4 linked regions of the Notamacropus eugenii genome follow. The protein of the gene in region 3 interacts with the protein of the main gene of each other region in a pairwise test. Links are inferred from orthologs where the notes say so. Each region holds a gene or a part of one and is shown on either strand. Other genes may lie near its edges. The genes, in order: PER2, PER1, CRY1 and BMAL1.

Region 1 (7,691 bases), on a different chromosome or scaffold from region 3:
ATAGCTAGTGAGTCTGAGGTCAGTTTTGAACCCAGATCCTCCTGACTCCAGGAGGGGTGCTCTATCCACTGCACCACCTAGCTGCCTCACTATTAAGTGCCAAGCACTGAGCATTGAGGCTACAGTCACAGAAGCAGGACAGTCCTTGTCCTCAAGGAGCTCACATCCCACACATAGAGGAGGGGTGGGCGAAGTTTTGGTCTTAGATGTCCCAGGGATGATGACTGGAGAAGCAGAACAGGGGTGCACAGGGATTGGAGTGTTTACTGATTCTCAGAGTGAGAAGTGGAAGTGGGTGAAAGTCAAGCTCCCAAGTTATAGGCTAGCCAAGGAAGGGGGGAAAGGGAAGGAAGCTCAGAGGCCAGGGACTTCGCCTCTCCCAGACATAGGCTCTAGAGCCCTGGTCTGGAAGGTGGAGCAGTGGCAGCAGAGAAGGAAGAGGCTCTCTACAAGAGGAAGGAGGCTGAAATAGCAGAGAAGTAGATATGGGCACCCACACTGGGAGCTGTCCAAAAGCAAAGGGGCTGTATTGAGAGGTGGGAGGTTCTTCCTTTCTAGAGGTCTTGGAGGAATGAATGAATCAATCAATTTATTATATGCCAGACACTGGGGCAACAAAAACTAGCATACAAGACAGTTACATTCTCATAGGAGGAGACAACCCGCATAAAGCAAAACCTGGACAAGCACTGGGAAGAGGGTTTAGAGGGGATTCTCACTCAGGGAGGCATCATCTTAGTTGGTTTCCATGGTCTGCTCAGTCTCTCGGATTCTGGGATATGCTTTATCCCTCCAAGTTAATTACTAACTTCTTGAAGGTAGAAGGTCAGTATCTATTTGCCTTCAATGTCCAACTCTAACGACCCAGGAAAGAGTCCTGCACACAGTAGGCACTTGGTCTTAGGCAGAATGGTTCTGTTGTCTACTCTATTTCCTTCAGGTCAGCCTCTGATCATCCTCAAGCACCTGTGTTTGGGCCCATGTCCATTCCAATGTCCCTGTTGGTTACTTCTCTCCAGCTTGATTTCTTTGACTCACCACTCGCCCTTCAAGAAGAATGTCTCCAGGGTCATTCTGGCCCATTGGAATCTCTTCCTCTTTGGGGCGGTCAGTCCTTTGTATCTGAAACAAAATCTTTATCATTTTCTTATATTTGGTCTTATTTTTCCCCATCAAGAATGTAAACCCCTTAAAATAGGAAAGATTACCCAAGGATACCACCCCAAAGAGGTTCAAGAAAGAGGAAAAGGGCCCATAGGTACAAAAATATTCATGGCAGCAGTTTTTTGGAGGTAGTAAATAATGAGGAAGAGAGTATGTCCTTCAGTTGGGGAACAGTGGAACAAATTAGGACATATAAATGTAATAGGATATTTTGTAGCATAAGAAATGACAGATTCAGAGAAAGCAAGGAAGTCTTCACTGAACTGATGTGAAGTGTAGTGAGCAGAACCAGGAGAGTGATTTCTCCAAGAACAGTGCTACTGTAAAGGAAGACAACTTCAGAACTTGGATCAATGAATGTACAGCTCTTGAGGACCAGTGACGAAGCCAGCCATCCACCCATAGACAGAGGGTGGTGTTGGATGAGACACATAGTTTCACACAGGCTAATATGCATGGCTGTTGTGAATGAGCATTAAGATAATTTGGTACAAGAAAGGGTTTGTTTGTTTTGGAGGGAGGATGGAGGAGAGAGGGAATGATGATAGTGATACCAAGAAAAGTCAGTGAAGTTTTCTTAAAAATACACAAAACACAAAAAGGTTCAGAGGGAAAAACAGGCCAGAGCAAGTCAAGTCAAAAAGCATTCGTCAAACACCTACTATATACCAGAGGATGCGCTGAGCACTGAAGAGCTTCACAGCTCATATGTTGAATTTAGCCAGCACTTAAAAAAACTCCAAGCTGTCCACAGAGATATCCCCTGCTTCACACATAGGCGTCTTGGGATGTGGAAATGTTCATACTTGGGGGTGGAATAGGAAAGGCTAATAAAAAAAAGATCAGGGATTCCTCCCCCTCCCCCTCCCCCTTTGTATTTCTCAGGTCTCCTGATGGAGTCTTGCATATAGCAGAAGATCCTTGGTTTATTTAACTGATCCTAGGGAGGGAATGGCTCTGAGCTGAAAGGAGCCAGATGGATCCTCAGAGGACCTCAGACGTCATTTGCTCCAACCTCCACCTGGGCAAGTATCCCACTCTTACATTCCACAGGCATTTACTGAGCACCTACTGTGTGCTTGGTTGTGTGTGATGAGCTGGGCATATAAAGGCAAACTGATACACAGTCCCTGCTCTTGAGGAGCTTACATTCTCTTGGAGGAAGAAACAATGTCTGTGTAAATAATGAAATACAAATAAATGCAAAGTCATTAGGGGGACTGAAGGGATGCTAGTAACTGGGAGGTGGGGCAAGATCAGGGAAAATGATTATCCAGACTCTGCTTGAAGACCTACTGGGGAGTTGCCGGGGGAGGGGGACAAGGACCCATCACTCTCTCCCTCCCTCTTTTCCTCCCTCCTTCCTTCTCCCTCCTCTCTTTCTCTCTCTCTCCCTCCATTTCTTCTCTCTGTCTCTGTCTCTCTCTCTGTCTCTGTTTCTGTCTCCCTCTCTCTCTCTCTCTCTCTCTCTCTCTCTCTCTCTCTCTTCTCTCTCTCTCTCTCTCTCTCTCTCTCTCTCTCTCTCTCTCTCTCTCTCCCCCCTCTCCTATTAATTGGACTGCTTTGTTTTCTTTCTATTCACAGAACCTAACACAATGTCTTGCACTTAGTAGGTGCTTAGGCAACATAGGTCAATCAAATTGAATACTTTGGGACATTGCAAGAGAGATTCTTCTTCAGGTATAGTTAATTAGGATTTTATGACTTCTGAGGTGTCTTTTAGCTCTCAGACGGTAAAAAATCATTTTCCTGCTAGAACCCAGAGGAGTGTACCTAGCCCTTGCCTTGGAGTCCACAGAGGCTATATTAGAATCAGGGTGCCACCTAAATTGCCATTTGTGCAAGCCCAGTGAGTCACTCCAAGTCTGTGAGCTTTAGTTTCCTCATCTGTAAAATGGGCATAATATTCATACTTGCCAGGAGGCTGTGAGAAAAGCGCTGTTGTGTCAAAGGAGATGGAACCAATGATTTCAATGATTCAGGAAAGAGTGGACGAGAGGAGATTCCCTTTCCTCAGGCAAATAAGCACCTTCCCATAGACACATCAGCTGAAAAAGTTGCCTCAAGCACCGTGAGGCTTTCCTAAAGTCACGTGACCAGAATGTGGCCAAGGAAGAATTTGAACCCTGCCTTCCTAGCTCCCAGTGCAGCTTCCTGGCCACTGCCTCTCCTGATAGGAATGTGGGTTGCTGTTATTATTATATTTCCTATATTATTTATTATATATCTGTGATCTTATTATATATCATATATAATTATTGTTATTAACTGGGTGCCTGGTCTGTAGGGTCATATACTCAGTGAGATGCTGTCAGGAGGCCAGGGCTGGAATCCTGTCTACTTTTGGTGTCCTTCCTCCTCCGCAAGATGGGGATAGTTGTACATACATTATGTACATATATTTGTATACGTGTATGTAGGTACATGGGACAGCTAAGTGGTGCCTGGAGTCAGGAAGACTCATTTCCCTGAGTTCAAATTCGGCCTCAGACACTTACTAGCTGTGTGACCCTGGACAAGTCATTTCAGCCTGTTTCCTCAGTTTCCTCATCTGTAACATGAGCTGGAGAAGGAAATGGCAAGCCACTCCAGGATCTCTGCCAAGAAAATGGGTCACAGAGGGCTGTGCCTGAAACACTCAAAAATGCATGTATATGCACATATTTGTGTATATACATATCCACCGTATACATGAACATGTATGTGTATATTCTAGCTTGCATATACACGTAGTGTGTGGGATGAGTATATGTAATGTATATACGTCTACATTCTCGTCCTCACAAACGCACACAAAAATCTCCGTATGTCTCTATTAGGTTATCGTCCCGCATCGCGCAAGGTCTGTACGTGCATGCCTTTATGTATATGCTTACGATGCGCAGATGCGCCCAGGTCAATGACAGGATAGCGCTACAATGTATCCCAACTCTCGAGTCGGGGCTGGGGTGGGGGCAGGGTCGGGTTGAGCTCCCGTCCCCGCCCGCCCCCGGGAGTCAATCTGAAGGAAGGCCGGCGGGTTCCTGCTCCGCGCTGGCGAAGGCGGCTCAATCCTCTGCCTGCCTCTTCTCAGCCCACGCCGAGCTCTAACCTGCTTCCAAACCGCAGCCTCCGTCACACTGACGTCAATGGAGCCGGGCGCGTCCCCAGTGGGTGTATGTGGGCGCTAGTCCTCGGCTTTCCCCCTCCCTTCTCCATTCCTTGCCACCCCCCCACTCCTGAATGGATTGGTCCACTCCGCTCCCCGCTTCCCCGGTAACGCCGAAGGCTCTTGAATGAAGCCAGCCCAGGGAGCGGAAGTGGAAGAAACCATCTGGGAGGCTCCGGGGGTCCCCCGCGCGTTCATTGAAGGGCTCCGCGTCGGAGTGAACATGGTGTTCCATGTGCGTCTTATGTAAAACGAGCGACAGGTGGCTCAGCCAGTGGGCTCGCGGCACCGGCCGAGGCCCCCGCCCCGCTATGCAGATGAGCCGGGGCTGCCTCCAATGCCGGGGCGCGGGGGGCGGGCCCGGCGCGTGCGGTCACGTTTTCCACTATGTGACAGCCGCCCGGCCTCGTAGCGCTAGCGAGCGGCGGCCGCGTCGCGTCCTGTAGGTCCCCAGCTCGGCCTCCGCCTCCGCCTCGGCGTTGGCCGCTCGCCTCCCGCCGTTCGGCCCGGACCCGGCTCCTGCTCTTGCGCCAGCGGGTTGGGGAGCGTTGTGGCCGCGCTGCTGCCGCCGCCGCCCGGGGAGCCGCGGTGAGTGCGGGTGGGGAGAGGGGCCTGGAGGGTCGGGGGGGAGGGGCGCGCCGTGGGGAGGGCATGGAGTGGGGAGTCTGGCCCGGTGACGTCACCGCCCCGCGAGCTCCCGCCGGGTGCAGCGCTTTGGGGGGCGATGGCGCGGACGTGGGACGCTTGGCTCCCCTCTCCCCGGAGGCTGGCAGCTCCCCGAGGACAGGCTTTGTCTCCCAGCTGCGGGCACACAGCAGGCGCTTAATTCGTGCTTGCTGCGGGATTGATAGATGCGTACTTGTTGCTTCCTCCATCCTCCTGCAGAGTGCCCCCCCGGGGGGCAGGCCGTGCGGTCCGACCTTGCAGTCAGGAAGGTCCGCCTTCGCTTACAGCCCCAGACGAACAACGACCCTGGGCAAGTCATTGAACCTCTAAGCCTCAGTTTCCTCTTGTGTAAAATGGGGTGAACCCAAAGGAGAATCTATGTACAAGCCATAACGCTGTGTTTAAATGCTAGCCATCACTGTTGTGCGTAGCGCAGCACACAGCTGGAGCTTAATACGTGTTTGATTGGGGTCCGGGGTGTGTGTATGGAGTCAGGGGACCTGGGTGCGAGTCTCACCTCTCTCATGCTCCCTACCGCTATGCCTGGCGGCAGTTTGGAAGAGTGGCGAAAGCCCCTGGGTTCGAACGGGCCGCGAGCCCCCCGGCCCCTGGACAGGGAGCCCCTCGGGGCCGTTCCTGGTCTGAGCCTTCCCGGGCTCGTGGTAAGGATCAGACGAGACGAGGCCCGTGTAAGGTGCTCGCCAGACGTGGCCGGCGTGGGGGGGCGGGGAGCGAGGGGAGCTCTTAACCGGAGCCTGACGGCCTCAGTCCGTGGAAACAGCGCCTCCCCGGGGGCAGAGAAAGCGGTGCACTCGGGTGCTTATGCAAGCTCCCCTTGCCGTGGAATCGATTGGCACGGACACGCTAACAGTCCGACTGCGTAACCGAAATTCATAGTATAACTGTTATTTTACTCACCCGCGTTTTAAAGAGGAAGGAACCAGGATCCACGAAGGCTGCATGACTTGCCTTCTCCACGCCTCAAGAAAATGAGGAGGTTGGACTAGTCCTTCGGGGAAGACGACCAAGGGACCAGGAGGTTGTGACTTGCTCAGAGTCACAGGCTGGGGAGGCAGAACCCAGGCCAGCTTGGAAGGCCAGTGGTAAAAGTGAAAATCAGGGTTCATGGTTGCTGTGACAGAAGCAGGTGTATCTTGCAGACACAGGCAAGAACCATCTTGAGAGCTGATTCATCCTGGACCTGTTTCCTTAAGGTCCTTTCAGCTGCTGGCCTCAGTTTCCTTATCTGTAAAATGAGAGAGAGGGAAATGGCAAAGCACTCCAGTATCTCTGCCAAGGATACCCCAGATGGGGTCACAAAAAGTCAGACACAACTGACCAGCAACACCAAGCTGGAGCTGGGTTTGGGAGACAGGAGGTGAATGTGATTTAACCCTGGGGACCCTGATCACTAAGCTGGCTCAGAGGGAGGAGGGTGAGACCCTCTGGCATGAAGAAAAGAGTTCAGGGCTTGTGTTGTAGGCTTGTTTGCTTTGGCCCAGAGATGTATTCATGGCTGGAAATTGGGGTGTCCATCTAGGAACCCCAAACTTTGTGGGTAAAAGTGAATTATGAGTTTAGTTAAGATCCCAAGTCACAGAATCTTTTAAAACACCAATTTGTACACCAGAAAGGGTATGCAGAACAGAGGGCTCAATGGTTCAGTGGTTCTTTAATTCTCTGGATAGGGAGGTGTGGTCATTATCTTTCTGGAACTCTCTCAGGGCACTGACTTTGACCGGTTTCTTTTGTCTCTCTTCAGTGGACAGAACATTGAACAGTGCCTCTTGGTGGTCTGAAAACCCATGGCCAGTGTTACTTTCCTTGAATGCATTTGTGTGGCCATATCTTAAGATCATTGGGTGGCCTAAATTTATTAAGTTTAATTAAGTTGATAGATTCTGGCAAAATGACTGTTCTTAGAGTGATTTCTTGTTGAAGATGTCCCCCCCCCCCGCAACTGACACAGCAGACTGCTAAGAACAGTAATGTTCACCTCACTGATCGGCAACCAGTCAGTCCATCTAGAAACTTCACCTCCTTGGAATGAAGACTTGTGGCCCAGGAAGTGCTTGGAGGAGCTTCCTGAGGAACAGAATGGACTTTGCCAAGGGCAGTGCCATGGCAAGCAGTTCATTCGCTGGAAGTGGTTTCTTGACTCTGAACTGGTTTAATTCTTCTCTTATGTGCAGTTTTGACAGGTAATCTGACCGACTCCTGCTTCTCTTCCCATTTATTTCATCATGTTTCCCTTAACACTCTCTGTCTTTCCTGCCAAACTGACCCACTCCCCATTCTCTGACCCCAAAATCTCATCTTCTGTCTGCCTGCCTATGCCCCATACGGTACCTCCTGCCTGTTCAGCCATGACTCCTCATTGCTTGCTGCCTGCCTGCATGAAGGGCAGAGCTAGTACAAGGGCCTTCTTCTGGAAGGTGCCCACAGGACTGAATTCTTTTTGGGGTGAGCTTAAGATGCCGATGTAGATTTCCCCTCCCCAGTGGGCAAAAGGGGACCTCTTACAGAACTCTGCCCCTCCAGAGGGCCTCAGATCCTCCCTATGGGTTCTGGAGGCAGCTTCTGCAAAATGCCCCAGAACCCAAGGGCCACCTAGAATGTGCTCTGTCCCTCCCTGGGCCCCTTGACCTTTCCACTTCCTTAGCTTCCCTCTAGGATCAGTCACCTCTGATTGGAGAAGTTTTCAGCATTCTGT
Region 2 (7,549 bases), on a different chromosome or scaffold from region 3:
GCACTATATACATGCTTATTCCCTTCCCCTTCACTTCCTCCCTCCTTATCCTCCTCCACACCCGCTCCCCCCATGCCCAGTTTACTTCTCTTCGGTCTCTTTGTTCCCACAGTAACCGAGCCCAGCTGCCATCAATGAAAGGAGAAGGGGCAGGTAAAGGAGTGACGTCAAAGCAGAGGAAGGGGGCAGGCTGCAGGCGGGGCCAAGTGGCTTGAAGAATGTGGGGCAGGGATCCTGGAAGCCTGGAGAAGCAGTGGTTTGGGAGGCAGCCAGTGGGAGGGCGGTGGCCGGGCCAGTGAGAACATCTTGTTCTTTTGGCAGTCAGCCTAGGACATGCAGCCGTCCCGTCCCGGTTCTCTCCTCACCCTCCCTATCCCCACCCCACTCCCTTCCTGTCCCAAAGCCAGGTGTTCCTGGAGAGGCAGAATTGGGGGAAATAGTCGGCCAGCTACAGGACCCAGTTGTCAATCCTTTTTGTCCTACAATGAACCATACCAGACCTTCAAGTTCTATCATCGCTATACCCCAAATTTGCTCACGTGGTCATAAAAAGCCAGGGTGTGGAAAGCTGGGTTCTATAAGACTAACAAGGCTTTGCTTCCTTGCCTTCCAAATGCCGATCACAGTGGCAACCAAAGGTTACGGGACAGAGGTACAGGTACAAGATAAGAAAAACAAAGCAAAGTGCAGACAGAACTGGAGAGACTTAGGAGAAGACCAAGGGATCATCTACTGTTCTAGCTGGAAGTGAACCTGGAAGGGACCTGATGGAGAAGAGATCTGGCAGTATGGAGCATTAGGTTTAATTAAGCATCTGGAAAAAGATAAGTAGTTGGGAATGGGGCTGAGTGAAGGGGGTTTCCAGGAAGAGAAGCCAAGGGCTTTCAGGAAAGACTTAGGACAGTTGGGTCTTAGATACTACCTTGCTCTAAATCCCTCACTTCTGTTCCTTTATCATATTTGTATATGTGCAGGAATGATGAGAATGTCCTTCCCAGGTGTAGGGACAAAAAAGAGTTCCCTACCCTGCCTCTGGTCCTGTTCCATATCTAATACTCTGACAAAAGTTCTTGACTCTAGTGTTCAAGGAAGATGTCACTCACCTCTCTAATCTTTGTGTCTGGTATATACCTAGGATTCTTTGCCATCTGCCTAATTTTCGGCCTAGTTCCTGGAACCCAGGTGTCCAGTCCCTCTCAGCCTAGGGACAATACTATATGATATATCCTTTTCCAGACTCAAGAATCTGGCCCTTTGGCATCCAGCTCTCCCTTCCTACACCCTGAAGAACCCAAGAAACTGTCTGTTCCCTTCTATCTACTAGACTCCACTTTATTCAGAAGCTAAGCTGTTCAATCTCTTCTCCACATCCATAATCACTATCCTCCTTTATCTGGAACCCAGCACTATTATTACAATTTTCTATACGTTGATATAAGTATAGATCCCTTAACTGGTGCTCAAACAAACAGGCCCTGGGATGTGGATATCATCACTGCCCCCCAAAGCAAAGTAGCTTACTGGACTAGAAGTCAAGACTTGGCTTCTAGTCAAAGTTCTGCCAAAAATTAACTCTGTGGCCTGGATCAAGTACTTTCTATAGGCCTCAATTTTCTGATCTGTAAAGAGGGGGAGGGGGTGGCTGAGATATTTTTAATTCTTCTTCCAGGTCTAACATTCTATTGATTCTATTATCTTTTCCCCTAAACACCAACATTTCACCTGGTAAATTTCCTTCTAATCCCATAATTAAAGAATTAGGATAAAAAAAGGTATTTAACCTGAAAAAGTATTTCCATTCTGTTAATCATATCTCTCATATATCTCCATTTTTCCCACCTTGTCCCCCAATCATCTCCAAACCTAAGACCGATACCTCCTCAAGAACTCCATTTAATTCAACTTTCTACAAGTTTGGATATTAGAACCCATCAATATTGGATTTATGCATCCCATGAGGTCATCTCTAATAGTCCAAAATCTAATAGTATAATAAACAGCATGCTTTTCCATGTTTCAATATTTTTTGCACCATTGCATAGGAGGTATGTATACATACACATATATGTGTGTATAAATGGCTAGGCTACATACATGTACATATTGTATACACACACACATTTTTAAAAAAATAGTATGATCTCCTGAAAAGAATAATATAGAATTGGGAGTCAGGAGAGGCCTTGGTTTGAATTCTATCCCCAAGGCTTATTAGTTGTGTGTGGTCATATAGGAAGGTCTTAATAACCTGTTTCCTCATCTATAAAATGAGAATAATACATTCTATAGTACCTATCACAAAGGGCCACTGCGCTGATAATAAGAATAGCTAGTGATTTGCGAAGTGCTTTAGAAATATCTCATTTTATCAAATGAGATAATTTAGGATTATCTTAAAATGTATTGTAAACTTTAAATGATAGATAAATCAGTTATTACGATCATCACAAACTCCAGCTTGATGCTGAAGGAACTTGCCAAAGTGCTAAGATGGTACAAGACACCCTTTTATTTTCCAAATCTCTACTTTAATCAGTCTTCTATCTAGTTCACAATCCACTCCAAGTCATTCAAGTTCTACCAAAAGACAAGTACTTAACCCACTCCTCCAAACGACCACCATACATCTGAATCACCAAACCCCACATAAAGTTGTGTTGCGAGTAATCCTACCCTCAAACTTCACCTAGTCCTTGAAGTTTCTCCCAACCTGACAAGAATAATTTTTCCTGTCTCAGCACTTTGTTCTTAGCTCTCATGCACTCATCATATAGCTCTGTATTATATAAGTAATTACCTACTTACTTATTCCAACTTCCCCCACCGGCCTGCAAGCTTCATGAAGGGGGGGCTGTGGTATCTTGTTCTGTAGAGCCTCCTCCCATCTCCCCTGGCAGGACAGTGCCCATCATCACACAACCTGACTGTCACAGAAGCTCACCCCAGATATATATGGACAGCCCCTACACACACACACACACACACACACACACACACACACACACACACACACACACACACACACACACACACACACACACACACCTTCCCCAATGGTGTGACATCCACTCCCACGGAAACAGGATCGCCCTTAAATCCCGACCCTGGGACTTTCTGTACAGGTCACTCAACTACTTTGTGCCTCAGTTTCCCCCTCCTCAGGGAGCTTGGAAGAAAGCCTCAGAGAATGTAATAAAGGACGCCTTGCCTACCAGTGTAACCTGCTCCCCTCTGCGCACACGCTGGCCCGTGCCCCACTCACCACTTCCCCAACCTTCAGTCGGTCCCGGAGCTCCGAAGATCCAGGCTCTGGCCTCAAGCGCCCCTTAGTACTCCTTCCCCACAAGGATCCAGATCCGTCCCACTGAGGCCAGCCCCCTACAGAGCCGGCGCGGGACAACACCGCCCAGAAGCCCGGACGCCACGCCTCTGATGCGCTCATTGGTCTGGGCGTGCCGACCCATGCCCCAATCCGCGTGCCGCTGCCCCGCCCCGCCCCGTCCTTCCAAGAACTGTTCCCATTGGGCCCCGTCAGCCCCAGCTGTCTCCTCATTGGTCCTGGAGAAGCCGAACTGCGTATACTCCACGTGCTCTCAGCCCCCTCCCCCACCTCCTAGCGCTGATTGCTAGTTTCCCGACCGGAAATCACGTAGTTTTTCCTTTCTCAATGGCCATTGGCAAATGAAAATTCCTTTGGTTTGCCTCGTCCCCTACCGCGTGAGGAGGTCCCGCCCCTAGACGATTCTCATTGGCCACCTTTGGGAGGAGCTGGAGAGGACACGTGCGGGGCGCCTCACGCGGCCACTTGTTTACCAGTACTCAGCTGAATTTTTCCGTGACGTGACCAGCACCCACGGCCCCAAGCATTAGCGCAGGCGCGGCTGTAAGGGGAGGGGGAGAGCGTGAAGGAGGAGCTTGGGGCTGGAGAGCGGCGGGAAGAGGTGGGGTGGAGGGGCAGACAGTTTTTAGGTGAAGAAAGCTGTCTGGTGGCTGCGCTGGAAGGGTGTAGTGGGGGGCAGTACAGGGAATGGGCCACGGCGGGCGATGTGGCCTAGGAGGTTCCCCACCGACCCCGCGGGGCCGTGGAAGGGATACATGGCTGTGCCAATCGTGTCAGACTCCGCGAATGCCACCTACCGATCCATCAGTGAACAGGCATTTATTAAGCCCCTACTGTTGTGCCACGCGCTGTCCATCCCCACGCCACACTTTCTTCTGCTCACGGGAGTTCACAGTCTAATGCAGATAGCTGTGTACCAGCAAGGTGTGTACAGGATCAATTAGGGATAATGTCAGGACCCGAGATGGAGGAGATGCAGCCTCACAGCGATGAGATAAAGTATAAACCTTGGGGTGCAGTGTGACTCTCAGAGATTGGGAAGGCTGACAGCCCCAGCTGTAGAGCTGTGTGAATATGTGAGATAATATGCCCTTGAGGGACTTGGGATGTGGGGGATGCTGATGATGGTGGGAGCTGTGTGAAGATGAGGAAAGTGATGACTGGAAAATGGGGGGCTCCGTCACAGGAACAGAATTTTTTTTTAAATCACCTCCAGTTGAGCAAATCTCTAGCAATGTAGATACTTACACCTAGTAAGAACAATACTGTGCAACGTAAAGTCTTAAAAAATTGCTCAACAGCCGCACTGAAACAAGTGTGATTGTGCCCAGGAGTCATATAGCCAGTAGCTGTACTGTCTTTAATGATTCTATTTACTGCTGCTTTTGCCTAGTGATAATTAAGCTGAGGTGAGGTGTGATAACCTGAATTTGAGAGAGGGGTGGTGGAACTCAGAATGTGGAGCTTGGAAAGATCAGAAAATATATGAAATGATCAAGGGGTAAAATGAACTAAGATTGGGGTATTGGAGTGTTGAAGTCACCATGTCAACCTCAATTCCTTACTCTCCCAAACCCCCAATCATTAGACAAGTCTTACAACATCTCTCCCATCAGTCTTCATCACCTGTTACCTGGACTACTGAAATAACTTGTTGATTTGTCTCCCTGCCTCACATCTCTCCCTTTCCAGTCCGTCCTATACATAGCTGCCAAAGTGGTACAGGGGTCTGATCATATCATTTCTCCGATCAAAAACTCCAATGACTCCCTGTTACCTCTAGTATAATATACAGATTTTACTATCATATACCAAAAAGTTCGGCATTCAAAATCTTTCGCGATCTGACTCTAGCCTACAGTTCCAAATTTACTGCATATTATTCCCTTTCTCATGTCCTGCCAAACAGACATACTTGATGTTCTTCACAACATTCTAGCTCCTGCCTCAGTGGTTTCAAACAGGCTTTTTCCCATTACTGGAATTCACTCTCATCTCTATGTCTTGGTAAGGGATTAAGTCAAGGGAATGGACAATGAAGGCCTGGTTGTCAAGAGCATGCTCTTCCTGATGTAATGACCTTGAGTGGATGCTTGGTGAGCCAGCTTTTGGGCATCTGTAATGGAAACCCCTCCTTTCCAAATCATGGGTAGATATTCTATGGCTACTTTCTATCCATTGGCTATGTGGTGAGGAGGAGTCTTTTGATTTGATGCTGAGCCAGAACTTGGTGTTTATACAAAAGGTAGTATCTGGCCAAATGGATCTTTTCCTTTCCCTGGGGATAAGCAAGGGAGGTGAATTGCCTTGGGAGTCCTGGCTTCATAGCAGCTCCAGGTGCTGGTGAATGTTAACCTTCAGCCTCACCTGGAGCTTCCGAGAAGCCAGGAGCACATCTGTCTTTGTGGTGTCTATTTTTTTCCTGCTCTTCGGTGAAAAATATCAAAAATGTCTTCAACCTTTTGAGCAAGTTACCAGGGGTCTAGAAGCTGTAGTCCATATCAGAATTTACAAGCAACTGAGCAGATGAAGTGCTAGTGCTGCCTGCCCTAAGGAGCAACCTGCCTGACAGCCCCAGCAGGGGATCAACTCAAAGTTGCCTTGTCCTTCTACATTAAGGGAACAGTGACTGTGACTAATTTGGAAATAAATTTATAATGCTTTATAGCAACCATTTTGAGTTTGAAGTCATTCTTCCCAAGGACTGAGGTGATGGAAGGAGGAGTATGCCTTCCTAGTGTTAGAAGAAATGTTCCTCTGATATTTGGGGAAAATGTTTAATAAATTCTGCTCATATGTTATCTTCTCAGGAAATAATTCTTTGATACTAGGATGCTAATAACTGGGTCAATCAGAGACAAAGGGAAGATGTTCTTTGTCACCAGCCATCGATATGGGGAGAAACAGCCAGAATGAGGGTTTAAGCTGATAACATTTTAGAAGAACTTCATTTCCTTTTAGAATAGCCCTAGAACTCTGGAGTAGAAGTTAACTAGCTTCTTGGGAACCCAGCTCACCAGTGAGAGTGAAAGTTGGGATGAAAACACCTGGAGACTTTTTATGTGGGCTACACATCTTAAAATACTTAACGTTCTTCAAAGTACAGCTCAAAAGCTACCTTCTACATGACATTTTTCTTAGTGGCCACTCAGAGATGCACTGGATAAACAATGGACCTGGAGTTGGGAATCCAGCCTCACACTACTACCTGTGTGACCCTTGATAAGTTACTTAACCTCACTATCTGCCTCAGTGTCTTCATCTGTAAAATGGGGATAATAGCAAAGTGCCAAGCATATAATTAGCAATTAATAAATGCTTTTCCCCCCTTCAAGCTTTTACTGCTCCCTCTCCATTACCTTTTGTTTACTTATGCATGGAATTATACCCTGACAAAATGTAAGCTACCGAAGGGCAGAGTTTTGGGTTTTTTTATCTCCAGAACCTAACATACATACCAGATTATATATGTGTTTATGTATATATCACAGGTATATGTATATACATATATATGACACTTAACAAATGTTTGATTAAGTTGTGATATTGTGGCAAGAAGTAAGTGGGATAGAATATGAAAGGATACTCAGGCACAGCTGGGGAGCTTTATGATAGTGAGGCAAGGCTTAAAATATAAAAATGATTGGATTTTGTCCAGTAATGGAGAGCACATAACAAGTGTTAGTAAGGATATAGTTGCCTGAATTCTTACACATGTAATCAAAAGAGTTTAAAACTAATATAAGGGAAGAGGAAAGTAGTACCTCTCTACTTCAGTTGGGTCACAGAAAGCCTAGAATGTATAAATTTACACATTTACAAGGTGTAAATGAGGTGTTTTCACTGTAAAAGATTCTTTTCTACCTTGGTTTCTTTAGGCAATAACAAGGCCTCTCTGACTAAGTCAAGAAGGGAACAGTTCAATTCTGCATCTGTCAGACAACAGAGAAATATATTTCAGATAAACAGGAACATAGAGAGATAAGTCCCCCAAGCTGCAAGGAGCAAGACATCTGGCAATTTAGAGTCATGCTGAGGAGAGAAGCCGCCCCTGGGAACAGATCACGAAGACTCTATGAAGAGAGAAAGACTTTTTGAGCCTTGTAACATCAGGAATTGTACATTACCTTTGCTACACATGTGTCCTGCAGGTGTGCCTCACTGCCATTGTATTTTAAATTTGAGTGCATTTTTCCCTTGGACTCTGTG
Region 3 (7,249 bases):
TCCTCCCCAGCTTCCTTCAAGCCTCCACCCAGGGCCTCCCTTTTCCTCTACTTTTTAGGGGTTTTTCATAGGCACTCCAGTTAAGACTATAGGTGCCTTCTCAGAATAATGATTTTGAATGCAAAAACTACAAAAGACATATTACATTGAAAAACAAGTTCTTGGACCCCAGAATAAGAGCCCCTACAAGCTGTTCATGTTTCCTCCCCATCTCAGATTTTCTGATCTGTATCAAGGCTGTATGTGTATTCTGTCCCTGCACCCCATATTCTCTATATCCCCAATAACTAGCAGAGTACCTTGTATATAATAGGTGCTGAATAAATACTCCATGAATTGAATTTTCAGGCTCATACTAGCGGTATGACCCTGGGCAAGTCACTTAGCCTATGTCTGCCTGCAAAATGTCATCTACAACATGGGGGTGATAGTAGCTCCTAACTCCTGGGTTGTTGCGAAGCTAAAGTAAGATTGTTTTTGTAAAGTGCTTAACAAACCTCCAAGTACTCTATAAATGCTATTTGTATTATAGTTGTTCTATCCGGACATCTAAACTGGATCAGTGAGGGATCAGGGGTTTAACCTGTAACATCTGGCAATAGGTACAGGGAGATATAAATACCCTTTGACCTAGCAATATCACTACTGAATCTGTATCCCAAAGAGATTTAAAAAAGGAAAAGGACCTATATGTACAAAAATATTTGTAGCAGTTCTTTGTTGGGGCAAAGAACTGGAAATGGAGGGGATGCTCATCAATTGGGGAATGACTGAACAAGTTGTGGTATGTGATTATGATGGAATACTATTGGGCTTTAAGAAATGATGAGCAGGATGCTCTCAGAAAAACCTGGAAAGACTTTTATGAGCTGATTCAAAGTGACATGTGCTTTGTACTGTGTACAAAGTAACAGCAATATTGTAAGATGAATCAGCTGTGAATGACTTAGCTATTCTCAGAGATACAATGATCCGAGACAACTCTGAAGGACTTAAGATAAAAAATGCTATTCATCCCCAGGGAAAGAACTGACAGAGTCTGAATACAGACAGAAGCATACGGTTTTTTACTTTCTTTTTTTTTTTTTAATTTTTTTATCAGTTTTCTTTCACAACATGACTAATATGGAAATGTTTTGCATGACTACACATGTAGAACCTATATGGAATTGCTTGCCTTCTCAGTGGGGATGGGTGGGAAGGGAGGAAGGGAGAGAAGCTGGAACTCAAAGTTTTAAAAATGAATGTTAAAATTTGTTTTTGCATGTAACTGGGAGAAAATAAGATACTAAATAAAAACAAACAACAAAGAAAAGATAAAAATAATGATCCCTGTTCTCAAGGAGCTTCCTTTCTATCGGATGGGGAGGGGGAAGAGTCTAGAATGACTGAAGTTTTGAACCGAGGGAATAAGAGGAGGAGGATGCTATCCTGGGAAAATATGGAAGTGAGTTGGGGAAAAGGTGGTGAAAACTACTGGATGTCTTCAGCTTTGGGTTCCAGCCCGTCCAGATGGAGGCATCCAGTAATGGGTTGGAGTCACAGGGCTGGAATTTAGGAGAAAAACAAGGGATTCTGACCCCTGCATAGAGGTCATCATGGAACCTGCCAGGGAAGATAACAGCCCCAGGTTAGAGTGTTGGGGCTGTCTACCTCTTTACAGGTGCATGGCGGGTCTAGAAGTGATCACTAATAATAACCCCAGGTCCACCTCTTTATAGGTGCATGGATAGTCTACAAGTGATCAATCAGAGCAACCATGACTGGAAAAGCTGCCCCTGGATTCCCAATTCTGGGCACCCTGTGGGTTGGGCAAACCAGGAAGTACTCCATGACTTTCATGCCCCATTTAAGGTAGAAACCTTAAATGTTCTTCAAGGGAATGAATGGAAATTTCAAGCAAGTAAAGGGTAGGAGCACTTCTCTGTGTGGTCATACTCTCCTCATAACAGTTTTATGGGAAATAATGAGAAGTGGGAACAGGTAGCACATGGCTGCCCCACTGATGTCAATGGAGCCAGCGCCCACATCATACAAGGAGTAGAAGGGTGGGAGTGGGTGCCTGGAAGGGGAAGGAGAGAAAAATTTGTAATGTCTCCCAGCCACTCCAGATCTCTGGATTCCCAGGATCCAAGAACCAAATAAGATGGGAAAAGTGATACTGAAAATGCAGATGGGATTCATAGGAAGGTTACCTGGTGGTGTCTGGGTGTGCCAATCTCTTGGCAGAGGGAGTTAGAAGAGAAAATGAAGGAAGGCCATAGAAAGAAGGCTTGAAGATTAATGAATGAAAATGGTGGGCGGGACAAATTCCTGGAAGATATGATAAGGTATAAAATCAAGAGTATAAGAAAAGGCATTTACTTGGACAAGTTGGACTTCCTTCAAGCTAGGAGTAAAGGAGGGAGACAGGTATAAATATAAACAGGTGTTTAGGTACAGATTTGAGGAGAAATGAGAACTGAAGACGGGGGAGATTTAGGAAGTTAGGATGATCTGAGGGTATGGAGACATGAGTATCAGAGTTTATGCTCTGGAACTATTTGAGGATCTATTTGAGGGTAGAGAACATGACTTTGTAGCAGACCCAGACGGCATGATTACACGGCTTCCTCTTCGAGGCATTCTGAAGGATGGCAGAGGACAATGGGAGTGACTCAGGATTGAGAGTCTTCGTAGTGTAAGCGAAACAAAAGAACCAGGGATTCAAGGTACATGACGGAGCCTTGTTGAACTGGTTAACTATAGGGATGAGACAATGAAGGCAAGCAAAGAGCAGGCATAATGTACTGGGGGAAGGGAGTCAGGACTCAGAAAATCAGAGGATGCTGGTGAGGACCAAAATCAGGTTTAGGAGTGAGACGTGGACAATGCTGGAGGATGGGAGATTGGGATTTCAGATCCCAAGATCGGATATCGAGGGAGCACAGTTTGGTGTGAAGGGGGGGTGGGTCTATCCCTTGGATGGAGGGGAGATATTGATCATGGGAATCTAGAGGAGAGTATTGATGGGAGGGGACAGAGGGGAACGTTTATGCTTAATTCCTCAACCATGAGGGCAGAGGGTGGAATCAAAGACTCAGAGATTCCTACGAAAGACGCGAGAGGACCAGGAAGGCTGCAGATCTCAGGGCCACGAGGTTCCAGACCTGATGAGTCAGACCGGAGATGTGAGCCTCCAGGGGAGGCTGCAGAAGCGTTGGAGGGCCCCGAAGGGCATCAGCCAAGGGGGAGGGTCTGCTTGCCCTTCGGCTGGGGAGTTTGACAAGAGCTCGCAGCCACCGAGGGCAGCCTGGGGGCTTCTAGGGGTTAGAAGAAAAAGTGGCCAGGCTCCCCGTCGCGGGAGAGGTGGGGAAGTAAGGCTTCTCAGGTTCGTTTCCAGAGAACGTTCATCCCCCAGAGTCCGACTCGGGGCTACCGTGAGAGGCCGTCAGAAAGAGGTCTGGCACCCCAAGTGGAAGCGGGCCGAGCTGGGCGAAGCCCCCGGGGGTGTCACAAATGGATGCGGGTGGGGAAGGGGTATCCCCGATCCTGGAGATGGGGTGTAGGAGAAGGGGAGTCACGCAGCCGTTGATGAAAGTGACCCCCGGGAGTGTCTGGGAAGAGAGGGTCACCCGGGGGTGCCTCTGGAGAAGTGGGGCTCCCTGAGGCCCCTAGCATTTAGATAGAGCCTCCCACGTGCCGGGCACTGGGCTGAGTAAGTGCTTTTTACAAACACTATCTCCTTGGACTCTCCATAACAATGCTTGGAGATAGGTGCTGACTAGCCCCATTTTACAGGTGAGGAAACTGAGGCAGAGGATGACCCAGATCACGTGGCTAGTCGGTGTCCTGCGCTCCGGACTTTCTGGTCACCTTGGGGATAACTTCTGGGGCCCCCTGAAGACCCTTGAGGGCGCCTTGAAGGGGGCGGGGCACGAAGAGGGTGGGTCAGGCCCAGACTTCAGTAAGCCCCTAGCCCAGCGCTCTGCTGGGGCAGGGGCAAGGGCAGGGCGGGAGCGGCTGCGCAGGCTCACTGCTCAGCACGGGACCACGCGCCGGGCGCGTGCAGGGCCGCCCCGGGAGCGCGCGCGCGCGGCTGCCGCCGAGCTCCTCGCAGCCCCGTGCTCATCCGGGACTCCACCGGCTCCCGGACTGTCAGCAGCCAATCGCGGCCCTCGGGGGCGGGGCTTGGGTGTTGGCTCACGCGGTACGGGGAGAGGTCGCCACCGGCTCCGTGGGGGGGAAGGGGGAGGCTGGGACGCCATCGATACCCGTGAGAGCGAAGGACGGGGAGCGCCGTCAGCTACGACTCACGTCTGCAAAGCCTGCGGCGGCGGCCAGGGGCCGAGCGGCTGCTTCGGGAGCGCGAGGCGCCGCCATGGGTCCCCGGCTCCTCCCTGCCGCCGGTTGCCGGGTGTAGTAAACACACTTCAGAAACGTGACGAGCTGGCGGTCACGTGGCAGGGGCTTCAGCCAATGGGCGTCCGGGGGCGGGGCCTGGGCTGCTGACGCGTCCGCCCCAGCGCGAGGAGCCAGAGTCCGAGCCGGAGCTGGCACTGACTCCGGGAACCCAAGAGCAGGCGGGCCGGAGCGGGATCCGGCCTCGGACCAAGGCCGGCGCCAGAACCTGAGCTTCCCCTTCTTCTCCTTCTCTGTCGGCCCCGGCTCGGGCCGGCGCGGCCACGTGACCCCCGGGGCGTCGGCGCGAGGCTCCCCCCCACCGGTCCGCCGGGACGCGATGTGGCCGGGCGGCCGCGGGCTTCGCTGGGTCCTAGCGCCCGCCGCTCTCTAAGGCCCCTCCGGGAGACGGGCAGGCTGCGAGATGGGAGTGAACGCCGTGCACTGGTTCCGGAAGGGGCTTCGGCTCCACGACAACCCCGCGCTCAAGGAGTGCATCGAGGGCGCCGACACCGTGCGCTGCGTCTACATCCTGGACCCCTGGTTCGCGGGCTCCTCCAACGTGGGCATCAACAGGTGGAGGTGAGTCCGGGCTCGGACAATGACTGGGAGGGAAGGAGGGTGGGGAGGGGGCCCGGCTCCCAGAGCCACGTGTCGATCAACGTGTGATGTCACCGTCTGCTTCCCTCTCCGTGAGAGCCACGAGTCGGTCGTATTGATCGATGATCTATATGGGATACTGTAATTTTCTCGGAGCCTCAGTTTCCCCCTCTGTAAGGGGGAAGGATGGACTCCGAGGCCCTTACCCCAGAGCCACCCGTCAATCATGTTGATTGGCAATCAGTGTGGGATACTGTAATTTTCTCGGAGCCTCAATTTCTTCCTCCGTGAAATGGAGGGGGTGGGCTCTAGAGCCACAGGTCAGTCAGTCAGCATGGGATGTTGTAATTTTCTGTGAGCCTCAGTTTCTTTCTGTGTAAAGTTTGGAGATGCCAGCCACCTCTTCATCCTTATGTGAATCTCTGAGCCTCAGTTTCTTTATTTGTAAAAGGAGGACGTTGGCCTAAATTGGCTCCTGAAGTCCTTGTACCTGAGCCTCGGTTTTCTTTCTCTGTACCTGTAAGGGGGGGTTGCACTGGGTGGGCTGTAAGAACCCTATTGTCCCTAGAACTCATCCTCCGAGCCTCAGTTTCTCTGCCTGTCAAATGAGCAATTTGGGTTACATGGGCTTGGAGGAGCCTCTGATCTCTGGATATGTGACTCTGTGATCCCTCAGGGACCAAACATTTTATGAGGGGTCTGGAGAGGTGACTATGATGTATGTACAGCCTTTTGCAAACTTGAGAGCCCTGTATAAATGATCCCAGCTCTTCTTAGGTGCCTGCAGTGGGGGAGGACTAAGCACTGAAAGAGCTGGTCTGTGGGTTTGGGGGGGAGGGACAGTTTGGAAGGGTTAGAGGTCCCTACCTACAGAGAGCAAAGTGAGCCCCCTTCTCATTCAGTGACTTGGCCAAGGGCACACTGGTAGCGAGAGCCAGACCTCTTCTGGCTCCAAAGCAAGTCCCTGCCATCAAGGAGCTCACTTCCCTGCTGGAGTTGGGGGTAGGTAATGTGCCCCATGCATAAGTCAGTGCATTTGTGGTGGGATGGGGGAGATCTGTGATTTCTGGTATAGGCACAGGCCAGGCTTGGGACTTCAGATCCCACTTGTGACACTGATTCACCTCCATGGGCCTCCCTTTTCTCTAATATAAAAATGAAGGTGTTGGACCCCCTTGGCCCTTCTAACTGTATGTCTGATCCTTGTGTGGTGTTGAAACTCTAAGTATAGAGCAGCAGAGGGCTGCTGGGCAGATGGGGACCTCCTCTGTGCTTATTATCAAGGATCCTGGAAACCACCTCCCTTCTCATTTCATAGAAGAGGACACTGAAGCCCCCCAAAGTAGCAGAACCAGGATGAGACATCCCCTCCTCTCTCTACAGGATCAGAAAATGGTAGCTCTGAAGTTTGCTGAGTGGCCCCTGTTGCAGCCCTCTTTAGCCCCGTTTTATAGCTGAGAGACTTGAAGCAAAGAGGTGTCAGATAAGTTGCATGGAGTCAGGGGGCTAGGAGGGGCCAGAGCTGGGACCTCAGCCTGAATGCCCTGATGCCTGCCATCTCCCAGGCACACGCCACAGCCCTGGGCTTTCTAATCAAGTCTGCGTTTGAGAGCAGGAAGGAAGGAGTGCTATTACTTAAGAATTAAACCAAAACGACCAGAGTTCTCCTGGCCTCTCTGCTCCATTCTGTGTATTCCCCAAATCCAGTCCACCCCAAGCTTGTGGCTTCCTGCTCTCCCTGAGTACAGCCCTGGCCGCCAGCGCGTCTCTGTGTGTACTCTTTGTTTTGGTGCCAGAGCCAAGACTACGGGCATTTGGGGGCTTCTCCACCTTGAGGCTGATGTTGGAGCAGCAGCAGGGCCCGGCTTGTGGCTCAGCTTTTCCTTACTCCGCCTTGTGGCTGAGAAGATCCAGCACACTTGGACTTTATAGGCACCTCAGAAAGAGATCCTCCCAGCCCATCACATGGGAGAAACCTAGGAAATGATGCTCTCCCTTCCTTCCCATCATCCCCCTGAAATATCAGCTTCTAGCCCTACCCTCCCTTCATGGGGAAACTTTCCTTAACAGCCCTTTTCCCTGGATTCCCAGACAGGTGATGATAAATGGCAGAGGAGATTCAGAGCAAATGCTCGCCTCACACCTGGCACTGAGTCAGTGCTAATGGCATCAGACCAGTATAGCACAGGCATTTATTCCTCCAGGGAAAAGAAAACCCCTTAAAAATGGCCAGACCGTCAACTAGAGAATCCTCAGAAGAATCATATCA
Region 4 (7,286 bases), on a different chromosome or scaffold from region 3:
TCTCTTTCTAGACAACATGCTTCTATGAATGCAATCTGAGATCATATTAGTGTTTCTGGCTGCCATGAGACAATGTGGCCTCATACTGTTTGCAATACCACTCAAATCCCTAAGGTCTATTTCATATGAACCCCTGTCTAGCCATGATTTCTTCATCCTATGTATCTTTAACAGTTTGTTCAGCTGAAAAAAATTTAACCCCAGTACAGGGCTTTACATTTATCTCTATTTTATTTGATTAAAATTAGCTGTGATTAAATTTGCCTGTCATCAATGCAGCTAAGATTCTTTCAGATTGCAAGTCAATTTTAGATGGGCCTCCTAGGTTTTTATCTTTTCAGAATCTGATAAACATGCCATCTACGTCTTGCAGCCGGAAGAATAAATTTCAAACAAAGACACTTCAGAGATATTTAGCAGATAAATATATTCTTTTCTGAATTTCTAATTAGTTATGTTTGGAAGGTTAGGGCTGGAAAGGTTATACTTTAGAGATCATATTGTCCAAACCCTTCATTTACAGGTGAAACCTTATAAGACTCACTTAAATGACTTACTTACCCAAAATCACAAAGGCAGTTGATGCCAGCGTTGGACCTTGTATCTAGTTTTCCTGACTCCTAGTCTAGTGTTCTTACATTTATAAAAGGCTGGTTATATATCACAAATATATCACAAAAAGAAGTAGGTTCTTTTACATTTGATGCTAAAATAATAATCCAAAATTAAATCATGTCAAATATTATAGTTTTAATTTAAGCTATTCACCTTTTACATCTAAAACATGGGAATTCCACTAGACATCCAATTGTCTGTACGTAGTTTCAAATCCTGCATCAGAAATTAATTTCAAAAATTCATCTCAAATGTGTTAAGTGAACCATTTTTAAGACTTGGCAATAAAATATGAATGGAAAACTGCAATTTTTAATATTTCAATGTACTGATATGGTAACCAAATTTAAAATAATGCTTTTCTCTTGCAAGCAATGGGCAAGTAGGTGGCACAGCAGACAAGAGCACTGGGGCTTGGAATCAGGAAGACTCATCTTCATGAGTTCAAATCTGTCCTCAGACACTTCCTACCTGTGTGACCCTGGGCAAGTCACCTAACCCACTTTGCCTCAGTTTCCTCATCTGTAAAATGAGCTAGAGAAGGAAATGGCAAACCAGTATCTTTGCCAAAAGGAACTCAAAACGGGTCACTGGGAGTTAGACAATAACTCGAAAGAAAATCAAGGCATAACTCAAAATTACCAATGGTAAAAATCATTTTGAACTCAACAATGAATTAATCAATGAATTAAGAATCCCAACAAGCCAAATTTACATCAGAAGCCAAAGTCATTATCTAGTAGAGTGGACATTTTACGTACAGTTTATCATATGACATCAGCAGATGACAGAAAAATAAATGACAGCTCTAGATACCTCAGAATGAACGCTACCTAAAACGCAGCTTTGAAACACCAAATTTTAAAAATATCTTTTCCAAATCAAGGCCTGTTAAGGAATGACTATTGATCAATCCTAAATCAACTGCTCAAAACACAATTAAGAAAACGTTCATCTTCATTTTCTGCTGAAACACGGAAACCATTTATTGGTTTGAAAGGTGAAACCTTGAAGGTGGAGCAGCCTATAAAGCGGGCGGGGACGCAAGTCAAGTGGGTTTAATTCAGGTCAGTCACCTCAACCTAAACTTAAAAAAAAAAAAGACAAACATACCTGAAGCGAGGGCAAAGACTTTTCCACCCCCAAAACACACTTCCCTCTCCGAACCCCTCCCCTTTTCACCTGGAGGAAAGGCTTGGGTAACACGAGAGTCCCAGAAAGCAAGTCTTATTTTATCTTCCGTCCCATTCACTGAGCAAACAAGGGTTGGTTGGTTGGGCGGTGGACACCGGACAAACACCGGACAAACACCGGGCCCTCCCCCCGCCCCTCCCCCGACATCTGTCAAACCCCTCGGGCCTTCGGGGCTCGGACCGAGGCGACCCCGCTCCCCGAGGGCTAACGACGCGCCCCAGAAGCGCTCCCCGTCAGCTCAGCCCGGGCTGGGCTCGACTCGCGGGTCCAAATGTCCAACCAAGAGCACATCCCGGGTGGAAGTCCGCCCGGATGGACTGGGTGGCCCATCCTCTCTCACGCCCTCCGACGCTTGGCCAAAGCGCAGAGCAAGCGGGGCGCCGGCCAGGGTCGCCCCGAACCACCAGCTCGCGCCCCTCTTCCCTCTTTCCCCACCCCCCAAAGCGAGGCAAGTCCTCTGCCTCTTTCTGTATCCCCAGGACTTAGCACAGGGGCTGACACACAGCAGGCGTCTAATAAACGTTTATGAATCGAACTGCTCAGAGCGAGGAGGGGGAGGGGATGGAGGACAGAAGGATTCCCCCCCTTCTCGAAACCTGCCAGAGGCTGACGTCGGTTTCCCTGCTTCCCTGAAATATACTCGCGCGAGCCGGCCCCAGCTCCCCCGTTCTGTCCCTTTAAGAGGCAGCAAACAGTCTCCCCTCCCCCATGACAGGTAGAGGGAGCGGGGAGGGTCTGAGGAGTGAATTGGGAACCCTGCACCTTTAAGGTGACAGCAGGAACCTCGGCCGCTCCCCCCTCCCCCGCTCCAGCTGGGGGGCAGCCGGAGGGAGAACGGTCCCTGGGCGCCTTTAAGAGAGGCTCTCTAGGGGAGGGGGTACCGACCGGGGAGGGGGCGGTCTGTGCCTTTAAGGGAGACCGATCGTCCGAGGGCGCTCGGCGGCCCAGGGGCACTGTGCCTTTAAGGGCGTCAACGGTCCCTGAGGGCAGCCGGAGCCCGAGCCGGGGCCCACTGCCTCTCGGCTCCCTGCCGCCGGGCCAGCCGGAGGAACTCACCGTGGGCGGGCGAGCTGCCCGGAGGGCGCGCGGTCCGGGGCCCCAGCTCTCCTCGGTTTCCGCGGCGGCGGCGGCGGTGGCGGCAGCAGCGGCGGTGGCACAGGAGGAGGCAGAGGAGGAGGCAACTGCGAGCCCCACTCCAGTAAACAGGCACCTCCGTCCCTGACCTACTTTCTGCTTTCCCTAAATGTCGCACCACTAACCTACTTTCCGACCAATCCGCTCCCCGCCGGCCCAGGCCCGGCCCCCAGCCCACCAATCGTAGAGCCCAACCCCCCCTTACTCCTCCCTCCAATGGAGGAGCCTGGAAGCCCGGATACCTGCCTCTCTCCACGAGCCAATCAAAAAGCCCAGAGGGACCCCGGTTCGGCGGCCACCGCTCGCCAATCGGAGCTCGGCTCCGAGGGTCAGATTCACCAATCGTTGAGAGCCTGGGGAGCGGCTCTGGCCAATAGAGGGACGCCAAGGAGGTGGGGAAGTAGGAGGGCGGGGCCGTCTACCTGACGCTTCATCCCAACCAATCAGCACACTCATCTAAAGTTCACACCCTGGAGAAGCCTCCAATCAGAGCGGGCGCTTCCTTTTCTATTGGGTTCCTCCCCACCCCACTGCCCCGCTTGTCCGCATTCCTCTGCCGGCGGCGGGGTGAGCACCTGTTGCCTTGGGTGGCCCTTCATTGCTCGATGCCGAGTCATTCCAAGCTCGACCTCCCGGCTCCTTTGGGCTGGACCCGGAGCCCGCAGTTGGAACTGGCCTTCACTCCCGGGTCCTCCCCGGTCCTCTGCGCCTTCTCCCTGGACACCCCAGCAAGCTTTCCAGTCCACCGACTCATTTTGTCTCCCGGGAGTGCCTTGGACCCTGGGCGCTTGCGGTTACCGCAGCCGTTGTGCGTGCAGAGGAGGAAACTGAGGCACGTAGTGGTTAAAGGGCCTTCTCAGAGGTCACACACTGAAACTGACCTAGGAGACCAGCAAGGTCCTTTCCAGCTGAGCCCCCAGAGGAGGGGGAGGGGGAGTCTAGCTAAGTCAGCAAGCAGTTATTAAGCGCATACCAAGTGCAGAACACTGTGCTGGGATCTGAAGCTACAAAGACAAACGGTTTTTTTTTAAATCGACTTTTAAGATTCAGTTTGTAGGTTTGAGGGATCGCCACAAGTACACAAAGTGTGGTCAAGGAAAATCGAGAAGAAGATACTGAGAAGGGGACCAGGAAAAGCGTCGGGGAAGTCATGCCAGGCAGAAATCTATAAGAAAGTTCTAAGAAAGGTGAGAGAGGACACGTTCTGTGTGGAGGAGGGGGAGGGGTGTGCCATGCAGGTGAGAGGTGGAATTAAGATTTCAGAGAACAGCAAATAGAAAGGAAAAGTGAGTAAAAGGAACTAGGTTGACCAGGGCCAAAGTGGAAAGAGTTTTAAATGTCAGGAGGTGAAACTGGTATTTTATCCTAGAGGCGAAAGGGAGATGGTACCAGAGATTCTTAAAGAGAGAAGTGATGTGGGAACAGGAAAGATGACTTTTGATACTATGTGGAAAAATGACGGGAAGAAGGAAAAGACTGGAAAAAGGACTGATTAGGAGTCTTTTGAGGTAGTCCCAACCAAAAGCTGATGAGGCTCTGAATTAAGGAGTTACCCTGTGTGAGAGGTGAGAACAGGAAAGCTATTAGGAAGGTAGAATTCACTATATTTGATAATTGATTGGATATGGGGAAGGGAGGAAAGGGCTCTTAAAAATGAGGGAAGAAACTGGAAACCTGTGTGTCTAAAAGGATGTTGTCCCCACTAGAAGTATGGAAGTCTGGAGGAACAGGTTTAAGAGAAGGAAAGATGCATTCCATTTTGAGTTGAGTTTCAGATGCTTAGCAGACATCTAGATGGAGATGTTCGGTGAGCTGTTGGTAATATGGAATTAGTTCAACGATTTGTGTCATGGACCGCTTCAGCAATCTAATGAAGCCTATGGACCCTTAATCACATATTTTAAATGCATAAAATGAAATTCATAGTGTTGCAAAAGAATACAATTGTATTGAAATAACAGTTATCAAGATCATTTTTTAAAGTTGAACCCCAGATTAAGTATCCCTAGACTACATCAAGAGAGAGATTAGGACCTCATATCTAAATTTGAGAAGAAACAAGCTGAGGTAGGTTGACTATTCACCTTATCACCTGACTCCTGAAATTATTCCTTTTTAGACTACACAATAGATAGCAGGACTGCCTGGTACATCTTTTTATCCCCCACAAAGACTGCCTTGAAAGAATTTGGTAATCAGTAAAAGTAGAATGCCTTTTAAAGTCAGTCAGTCAACATCATTCACAGAACTACTTGCTATCTTGTGTACTCTAGACAGAGATGAAATAAATAAAAGTGGTCATAAGGAACTTGCAATTTAATTGGAATCCTAGTGCTTTATCTTTTGGATCTGTTCCAACTTTATCTAAACTTCAAACCCCAATTTTTCCTTTCTTGTAAGTCTCTTTCTTGGTGTACCTCCTCCCTTCTCCAGGCTCTTTCTTTGTATTCATAATAGCAGTAGCTATAGTTTTATATAGCACTTTATGCAGTCTTGATTAACCAAATCACAGATGAACTTAATCCTCAGGAACTGAAAGACTTGGAAGATCCTGATGACTTGAGCCACTGTCAGTGATATCAGAAAGATCAGAAGTAGAGGGCATACAAAGTGTTTTACAGATATCATCTCATGTAATGCTCATGGCAATCCTAGAAGGTAGGCGTTGTTGTGATCTCCTTTTTACAGATAAGGAAACTCAGAGAGAAGTTAAAGTGATTGCCCAGGATCAGAACAGTAAGTACCCAAGATCAGATTTGTGCTTAGGTTTTTGTAACCCAGAGCTATATCCACCACGTTGCCTAATTGCCTGGGCAAATTTTGTTTCAGTTGTCAAAAATGGGAAGAGAATGGAATCTATGAACTCTCGAGAGGTCAGCTTGACTTCAGTTCTTTTGGAAAGTCTACAACTAATGAGAACTGCTGTTCTTTTCATCTTACTTTTATTTAAAGAGAGGCAATGTAAGCAATGTGGATAAAGAATTGGCTTTTGAGTGTCGGAGGCCTGGGTTCATGTCTCATCTCTGCCACATATTGACCATTTGACATTAGACAAACCACTTAAACTCAGAGCCGCAGGCAAGTCTCTTAAAACTGTAAATTATAGAAGGGATGCTGGTCTACTTTGGCGTAGGAAATTCCTTGCCTAGAGCTCCCTACAACAATGAAATTACAGGTGAGATTTAAAAAAAAAATATTGATGTCTTTTTTTCCTTTGTTATGCCATTACCCTCATTTCCTACTTTTTAATCTACCCATAGATACTTTTTTTTTGTCTTAGCACTCTCTCCTTGGAGGTCATCTGCTTTTATCCAATGACCCAAAGTCTACGATCCTTTCAAATTTGTTAAAAACTTGAATATAGTTTACTTATGATGATTCAATCAAGATGCCTGGGCCTTCTGTGTTTATATCAAAGTGGGATTGAAACACTTACCCTTACACCTTGTAACAAACATTATTGAAAAATGGAAGAGGAGAAAGTGGTTCAGTAAAAACCAGTTAACATCAACTATGTTTTGACAGGATATATAATACTGCAGTCTGTGAACTTAGTTTGCTTTGTGGTGGTATTTTTTTTCAATATATTTTGGTAATTTGCATTTCAGTATAATTGGTTTCCTTTGGAATTTACTCTGGTGAAGCCGTCTATAGGCTTCACCAGACTGCCCAAAGGGAGGACCATGAGACAAAAAAAGGTTAAGAATTCCTAGTCTAGAATGTATTATTAAAGAGATAGTAGTGAATATTTAAATAAGGAAGTAGTGATCACAATAACTAAAGTAGCTTTATCAAGAACAGGTTATACCAGACTAACCTAGTGTCCTTTATACATTTTTCAAGTATTGAATCCCATCTGGACTTTATGCCAATCCTGTGTGGAAAAGCAGCATTATCAATCAAACAAAGAACATTTACTAAGCCTTTATTGTGTGACAGGCATTGTGCTTTTTGTCACAGTGGATAGAGCATGGAGCCTGGAATCAGGAAGACCTCAATTAAATTCCAACCTCAGACCCTGAGCAAGTCACTTAACTGGTGTCTGCCTCATCTCTCTCATTTGTTAAGTGAGAAGGTTGGATTTGGCCTCCCAAAATCCATGTCAGCTCTAAATCTATGATCCTATATGCATATACAAATATATGAAGATAATTTGAGGAAGAAGAAGTAGAGAGGGACCAGGAGGGACTTCATGTGGAAGGGAGTTCTTTAGCTGAGTTTGAAGGAAATGGAACTCGAGGATGGGGACCAGAGGTAAGAATATCGTGTGTGAGAAACAACAAGATTGCCAGTCTGCCTGGATCCTGGACTAATGTATGTTGGAAAGGTAGGTTGGGGCCAGA

Evidence for each region.
Region 1: the proteins of CRY1 (region 3) and PER2 interact in a two-hybrid assay, tested with the Homo sapiens proteins (5 studies listed by BioGRID, with this or other methods). The link is inferred for Notamacropus eugenii from reciprocal best matches to the Homo sapiens genes CRY1 and PER2.
Region 2: the proteins of CRY1 (region 3) and PER1 interact in binary tests that used the Homo sapiens proteins (3 or more experiments, as listed by UniProt). The link is inferred for Notamacropus eugenii from reciprocal best matches to the Homo sapiens genes CRY1 and PER1.
Region 4: the proteins of CRY1 (region 3) and BMAL1 interact in a two-hybrid assay, tested with the Homo sapiens proteins (3 studies listed by BioGRID, with this or other methods). The link is inferred for Notamacropus eugenii from reciprocal best matches to the Homo sapiens genes CRY1 and BMAL1.

What each region holds. Positions count from the first base shown.
Region 1 is NC_092873.1:59,040,619-59,048,309, forward strand, and holds the start of PER2 (period circadian protein homolog 2), read left to right. Parts: upstream 1-4,682; 5' UTR 4,683-4,900; intron 4,901-7,691. UniProt on the Homo sapiens protein: Transcriptional repressor which forms a core component of the circadian clock.
Region 2 is NC_092873.1:77,746,821-77,754,369, reverse strand, and holds the start of PER1 (period circadian protein homolog 1), read right to left. Parts: upstream 3,004-7,549; 5' UTR 1-3,003. UniProt on the Homo sapiens protein: Transcriptional repressor which forms a core component of the circadian clock.
Region 3 is NC_092874.1:289,311,798-289,319,046, reverse strand, and holds the start of CRY1 (cryptochrome-1), read left to right. Parts: upstream 1-4,247; 5' UTR 4,248-4,804; coding exon 4,805-4,962; intron 4,963-7,249.
Region 4 is NC_092877.1:31,954,042-31,961,327, forward strand, and holds the start of BMAL1 (basic helix-loop-helix ARNT-like protein 1), read right to left. Parts: upstream 3,014-7,286; 5' UTR 2,866-3,013; intron 1-2,865. UniProt on the Homo sapiens protein: Transcriptional activator which forms a core component of the circadian clock.